Xenopus tropicalis: one gene and its partner. The protein of the gene in region 2 interacts with the protein of the main gene of each other region in a pairwise test. Links are inferred from orthologs where the notes say so. Each region holds a gene or a part of one and is shown on either strand. Other genes may lie near its edges.

Region 1 (3,753 bases), on a different chromosome or scaffold from region 2:
TCTCACATACCATTTTTCTTGACTGTGTCATATGATATAGTTGTGTCAGTAAATAAAAAAATATTTTTAACAAAGAAGTATCATATATATGTAATTGCAGGGGCTAAGTATCAGTGTCAGAATGAGATGCCAGGTGCACACTGCCAAAACTTTAATTCCTCCTCTCCTCCTTCAAACTCTTTATTATCCTAGTCTCTTTTCTCTACATACTAACGTTTATTCATCCATTTACCAAGCTTCCATGTTCCCATCCAGAAATAGGCTAAATAGTTAGAAGCAAGAGGGCCCACTGACACCTGGGCCCACAGGGAGTTTCCCTGGTATCCTGGTGGGCCAGTCTGGGACTGGTAGGTATAATTAAATATGAACTTTGGACAGTGGATGCTTGCATTGTTGTACCAGTGCAACTTTGCCTCAAAAATGTGTCCAGAAGGGGGAAGGGGGGGCCTGCTGCATGCCCTGCACCTGGGCCTGGGGAGGTATAGTTCCGCTACTGTTTGGAAGCATAAATCAGTTTGGTGTAATGATCTCTTGTACCTGTTATCAGTGTTGGACTGGAATACCAGGGGCCCACCAGAAAACCTTAGAACATGGGCCCACTCTCCAAAATATTATTCTCCTATTACATGCTAGCATCTATTTTTCCATCTATTATTTGTATTTGTTCCCATTCAGAAATAGGGAATGACCATGAAACAGGCCAAATGGTTTGGAGCAGGAGGGCCTACTGACCCCTGGGCCCACCGGGAGTTTCCCTGGTATCCTGGTGGGTCAGTCTGACACTGCCTGTTATAAACTTAAAATATACCAGAGAATGCATATCACCACATAATTTCACATTTAAATATTCCTTTTTATCTGTACTTCTTCTATTTGCTCCAGCTCCCTATTTTGGTCCATCACACTAAAACGAATCATTTATTAGTTCTTTGACCTGGTTAGTAATTTGTATTGGATAATGTATGTGAAAGCAGGCTACTCAGCCTGGAGCTTTGCAGGCAATAGTAACATAGTGCTGTGAGAGGCAGATCACTTGGCACACCACACAGCTATAACCCTCTATGGAGCAGTTTGTATCATAGCCACGGTTTATTACAGCACATTCATACTACTTGTGCTTGTGGTAGGTTCCTAAAGGAAAGAGCGCAATATATCCCCCTTCTGGTCTCCAGGGGTAACTACAGGTGTGAGCGGCGCTCTGAGACAAGGGGTAAGGTAATGTTCGTCCATGTGATACAGGCCCGGATGTTTCCTAGCTCGTTTTCCCGGGGATAGCGCCTACTTGTCCCTCCTCCTTACTCTCGTAGAGATGTGACTACGGAGTCCCAGGGTTGGTTATACTTGTCCCTGACCGCGTTTTGCATGGCTCCAATTTGATGGTTTCCCAGGGTTACACACGTTTGTCCCGCGTCTGGCCTCCACGGGCCTGGCTATGTTTGTCCTGCCGCTGGTGCAGTGACGGGCTGCTGTATTTAGGGAGCTTCAGGGGAGCAGGGAAGTAATACGGTATGTTTCAGGGGTGGGGTTTATAGCGCCTTTGTGAGCAGTGCACTTATCAGAACTCACAAACCTGTGTCTAGTCTGTGGCCTTCTAGCTAGTTTGGGACTACAGTTCCCAGCATCCTTCACATACAGCCGAACTACAGCGGTAGAGTCACTATTTACAGTAACGGACACCAGTAGCAACTATGTACCATAAGGCCACAGGCTGTATTGATTGGGTAATGGGTGTGTGGGCCTGGCTGGGAAGGGAACAGGTTATCGGATAGCATTTTGTTATATGTACTTGTATTTTGGGCCTTATTGCTCCTTGTCCTCCCTCAGCCCTGTCCCACTGCCTGATCGCTAGGGGAGACTAAGGTACAAGCTCGCAGGGGGACACATAATAATGGGACACATAGCCCAGTAAGGAATGAGGGATAACTGGGGCAGTGCTGGGCATCACTTTCCTACCATCACTCCTGCCATGTAAATGGCTGCTAACAGATATGGAATTGGCTGCCCTTTATATGTTATAATGTTTCTCTGATGCAGATACATGAAATCCATCATTAGCTGTGACCAAACAAAGCCTCACACGGGATATTGTGTTCAGGGGAGACAGTATGTAGCCATGACAGGTGCTTAAACCAGTGATTTCAGGCAGATATTTTAGTATGTGAGTGACTTTGGGCATTTTAAACATGTTTCTTCGGCTGATAAAAAATATGTGGTGATCAAAGTGCAGAAAACATGCCTTTTTTGAAGGGTGAGCGCTTACGAGAGCCTGAGGATTGTCCAGCAGACAGTCACACTGTTCTACCTGGTGCCCAGCACTCTATATACTGAGCTTTTACATAAGTGCAGTGATGCCAAAGTAAAGACGGCTTGTGGGCACATAGCAGGGACTATTTCTCTGCACCTTGCTCAGAAAAACTGTTATACATTTGCAGCCCTGCACTGGTAATTTATTTAAAGAAGTAAAAGTGTATACAGTCCCTAATGTTGTGGCCCAGGCTTTTGGGTGTCTTGTAAAAATCTTATTTATAGTCTGATTATCAAGAGAGCTTGTTGGGTTGCAGCATATACACAAATATCCCTGGTGAAGCCTCCTTGGTTGTTTAAAGATGTTGCATCATTGACAACCCTGCATATTAGACTTAGGTACAATTATAATATTAGCTAGGCTTGTGCTCTCCAAAAATGTTTATTAATTCTGAAAAGTATAACTATAAACACCAATATTACTCCATGTGATATCTACACCAGGGGACAGGAGCCTAGTGTGGTACTACATGCCTGTCAGTGCCTGGCAGGATGGATCTTGTCATGAAAATGCTTGTGTGCACACAGACAGGAAGATGTCTTTCTGTCAGCCAGGGTTTGAGTAGATTGTCTTATTCTCTAAAAGAAAAAAACCCTGGTGTAGCATTAATTGTATAGTTTCATTTTTTAATGGGAAAAAGCAGTAGTTGCAGTATTAAACAGAGGGTTATTTTAGTGTATTGTATAGGTGCATTGACTCCAAAAATGAATAAATAAAAAAGTTGCCCTGCATGTTTCATGCCTTTCATGAACACTACGACGTAGTGCCCTTGAGCAGTATGAAACCATTTGCACTGTATCAATTTACTTCTAAAATATTTAAAATATTTTTTTGTATTTTGGAATTCTTGCATCCTGTTCCAAAATAAGGTAGCCACACGTAAAGATGGCCACATGTGCCAGATTCAGCTGCCCATATCAGTCCCTTAGAGCGATTCAGCAGCTTATTTGCCAGTGTATAGGCACCATCGACAGGCCTTCCCAAACGGCATCTGACCTGAACCAGTGGCACCTATGCCTGCCATTTTAATTTGATTGTTTGGCCCTAGTAAGTGGGCATATCGGGAAAAGATCCTCTTGCTTTATGACATTGACAAGCAAGCAGACCTTACAGTGTATGGCTACCTTTACGAAACACAGTTTTGTGAAGGTAAACTACCACTTGAAGTCTGCCCCCCAGTGCATGTATGTATATATATAATATATTATATCAAATTATTCTTTATTTAGCGCCAACATATTCCATAACTATCCACACCTGTCCCTGCCCTAGCGGAGCTTACAACTTAAGGTGCATATAGCATTCACACACGATCATTTTTCGATCAGAAGCCATTTATGATAAATGTTTTTTCAGTGTGGGAGGAAACACAATCATTGATAACGCATTAAAACTCATAGTACCCTCACTGGAATCAAACCTATTACCCCAGCACTCCAAGAAAGCAA
Region 2 (3,753 bases):
TGGTATCAATCATATTTACACACACACTAAGTAGTAAAAATGGTGTGTGGTGTTACAGTTCAACAACTGTGGCTGGTAAACCATGGCCACAAGGTTAGTGGTAAATCAGGGGGCATATTTATTACAGTGTGTAAGCCAACATCACTAGTGATGGTGCCCATAGCAACCAATCAGTATTTAGAATTTGACAGTTACTTACAAGTTAGAAAACAAAAGATCACCAGAGATGTTGGCTTACACACTAAAAAAAAAAAAAAATATGCTGAGGTGTGTTGACAGCAAAGTCCTCTGGTGCAGAACAGCAGTAGTTAAAACACCAGTGTCACCACTGGTATTTAATAGCAAGGGCCCCTGTTCACACACAAAGAGGACCTCTGAGCGTGTGAACCTCCATGCAAAAAGTGACAGACCATTAGGAGTTGTGACAGATGGAGAGGAGCATTTTGACTTAACTGCATAAGCCTTTCCTCTAAAAAAGCATATCATAGTAAGGGCAACTCCATTAGGTTTCTGATATGTTAAAAAGGCAGCTATACATACACCAACAGTGTCAATTAATTTAAGCTGTTGATTGGCAGCAGAAAGAGCTCATTCTCTAGATGAGACATTCTCTATACCAGTGGTTGTCTGGCTTTATTAGTTCTAGACTCCACCACCCATGGCCACCAAACCTAACCTCATAACATGACTAAAGATATCTGAAAGAGACTGTTCCACATACTACTAGGTCAGGAAATAAGTTTTTATCCCAAATCTCACAAAGACTGGACTTCAGGCTAGACTGTCAAGTGTAACTAGAAGAGCAAATTGACAACTCCAAATTTCACTAATAGGGATATGATTCAGTGACAGTACAGTCCCAATGTTTCTTCATTAATGTCTTTGGCCAACAGTGCTGAGATCCACAGATGCAGAGAGATCCAACTACAGCAGCAACAGAAAATGAAGAAAGGGCTAAAGAGGACAAAGATGCTGTAAGGCAGGACTATGGTGGACTATTCTGGAATGACAGAACAAGAAATCAGATTCCTCACATTTTGATGCAGTACTAGAACACATGCTGGTGAGAGATTTAGAAGCAAGCCTGCTCTTCACTCTACCAAGATAGGACCTTTGTGACAGCAAAGTGATATAGGAATGGTGTAAAGTTAGTGGACCTAACCTTGCCCATTAAGGGCTCTGCCACACAGGGAGATTAGTCGCCCGCGACAAAACTCCCTGTTCGCGGGCGACTAATCTCCCCGAGTTGCCTTCCCCTGCCATCCCACCGGTGACTTACATGTTTGCCGGTGGGATGGCGGGTCATGGCAACTCGGGGAGATTAGTCGCCCGAGACAAGGGAGATTTGTCGCGGGCGACTAATCTCCCCGTGTGCCAGAGCCCTAAGAGTAAGGAAGGTGCCAAAGCAACAAGACTTTTGTTTGGGTGCAGGTTTGTAGAGAGAGCAGCTGGAAGGCCACATTTTCCATCCCTGCACTAAACACAGATCAGGTCAATATAAACCAACACCCCCATTACAACTGGTCAAGCTAAACACTGTATTTCTGCATGTGTCAGGCACAAGAAGCCGTAGGCAAGCCTATCCCCGTCCAGCTGCTCCCTATACAAGCAAGGCATTCTTATGAAGTCATGGTCCCGTCACTCCCACAATGGCGAAGAGGTAACCAAGCGTCTGAGCTACTGTCGCGCTATAAAAACGGGGTAACCAACCTGCGACTGCCCATCTGAGCTACTGCCGCACTGAGGCACGGCGCACAACAAAGATTTCCCGCTTGCTGCGCCTGCAGACAATGCCACGCCCCCTCCCCCATAAGGAAAATGCGAGATTTTACACGGAACACACTCTGCTGCGACTTCCCCACTCGAACTACATTTCCCAGCTTCCCCCATACAGCTAACCACGGCGGTCCTCAGGCTAGAGAACTGAACGATGTATGTCACCCCTTTAACGCAGTAAAGGCGAGGGGCGGATTTGTTTGACTGCAACTCTCAGACATTCGTAAGAGCTTGTATTGCCAGTTGCAGCCGAACAAATCCAAGAGCCGCAGATGCGATATCTTTCAGCCCATTAACTGCGCGCATTATTGGGGCACAGCGCTCTGCCGTCTGGTCTACCGCTCGGCGTTCACTTAGAGCAAAGGGGTGAGTGAAGACTACGGTGTAATGGTGGAAGCCACGTACAATGGCTTATGCTTACCCTCTTGGAACTTAGGCCTTGGGTCCTGCTTCGGCGCCATTTATAAACTCCGCGGCTCCCGGGAACGGATCCGCCGCATCTACTCACCGCGCGGACCCGCACGTCACCGCACGCCGCCTGCGCATGCGCGCAGGGATATGCCCAATGTGGCGAGCATGCGCAATAGCCACTAGCCCTCCCGGGGCACTATGGGAAATGTAGTTCGGCTTTAGTGGCGCAACCTCCCCCACCCTCACAAACAAAACAAGCATCTTCGCATTTCTGCTACAGTGGAAATAAGATGGAATGTTAATAAATAACATTTACTGTTCAAGACTAAATGCTAGGTAGGTACCTCAGGTATCTATTTCTATATCGATTTTAATGTTACTCGAGGCTGAATGCTTAGTTTACATATTCCAGAAAGTATTTTTTCATACAACGGCGCAAAATCTCACGCATTAACGTTTACTTAGTGTCTGGAAATACATAAGGCAAAATTTACCGAATGAAAACGTTACGCCCAACGTGGGGCTCGAACCCACGACCCTGAGATTAAGAGTCTCATGCTCTACCGACTGAGCTAGCCGGGCGCTGTTAATTCCGTTAATTTGCGCTCTAGTTACTAATAAGTATAAAGCAAAGTGAAATTTTCTCTGTTCTATCTATGGATTCTGGTCTTTTTTCCTCATAAAGTGTCAATTTACACTAATAACTCTTGCACACTCCTGCAGGGCAGGTATAAGCACAGAGGTCACCCACAGAGGCCAGCAAACAGTGGCATAACTAAAAGCTAATGGGTCTGACATTAAATTTATTTTAGCCCCCCCCCCTTAAAATTTACAAATAAGACAATTTTTATAAATCTATATTGCAGCTGTTTATTAGTCAATATCTTACAGGACCTCCTATTCCTCCTGGCAGTCCGGGACTGCAGCAGTGGCGTAACTATAGAGGAAAACCAGAACATATAGGGGCACAATTACTAATCCACGAACGTCCGAAAAGGGTCCGAATGCGTTTTTTCCGTAATGATCGGTATTTTGCGATTTTTTTAGTAAATTGTCGCAACTTTTTTGTAGCCGACGAAAGTTTCGGATTCATTCAAGCTTCAGTATCGTGACTTTCCTTGGGCCAGGTTGGAGCTGCAGAGTGTCATTGAGCCCTATGGGAGACTTTCCTTGGGCCGGGTTGGAGCTGCAGAGTGCCATTGAGCCCTATGGGAGACTTTCCTTGGGCTGGGTTGGAGCCGCAGAGTGCCATTGAGCCCTATGGGAGACTTTCCTTGGGCCAGGTTGGAACTGCAGAGTGCCATTGAGCCCTACGGGAGACTTTCCTTGGGCCAGGTTGGAGCTGCAGAGTGCCATTGAGCCCTACGGGAGACTTTCCTTGGGCCAGGTTGGAGCTGCAGAGTGCCATTGAGCCCTACGGGAGACATTCCTTGGGCCAGGTTGGAGCTGCAGAGTGCCATTGAGCCCTATGGGAGACTTTCCTTGGGCCGGGTTGGAGCAGCAGAGTGCCATTGAGCCCTATGGGAGACTTTCCTTGGGCCGGGTTGGAGCTGCAGAGTGCCATTG

The links.
Region 1: the proteins of morf4l1 (region 2) and zbtb9 interact in binary tests that used the Homo sapiens proteins (3 or more experiments, as listed by UniProt). The two-hybrid records come from large-scale screens. The link is inferred for Xenopus tropicalis from reciprocal best matches to the Homo sapiens genes MORF4L1 and ZBTB9.

Annotation. Positions count from the first base shown.
Region 1 is NC_030684.2:71,795,837-71,799,589, reverse strand, and holds the start of zbtb9 (zinc finger and BTB domain-containing protein 9), read left to right. Parts: upstream 1-1,150; 5' UTR 1,151-1,210; intron 1,211-1,233; exon of another isoform or gene 1,234-1,330; intron 1,331-1,336; exon of another isoform or gene 1,337-1,506; intron 1,507-3,753. UniProt on the Homo sapiens protein: May be involved in transcriptional regulation.
Region 2 is NC_030679.2:118,096,188-118,099,940, forward strand, and holds the start of morf4l1 (mortality factor 4-like protein 1), read right to left. Parts: upstream 2,302-3,753; 5' UTR 2,238-2,301; coding exon of another isoform or gene 2,198-2,237; intron 1-2,197. UniProt on the Homo sapiens protein: Component of the NuA4 histone acetyltransferase (HAT) complex which is involved in transcriptional activation of select genes principally by acetylation of nucleosomal histones H4 and H2A.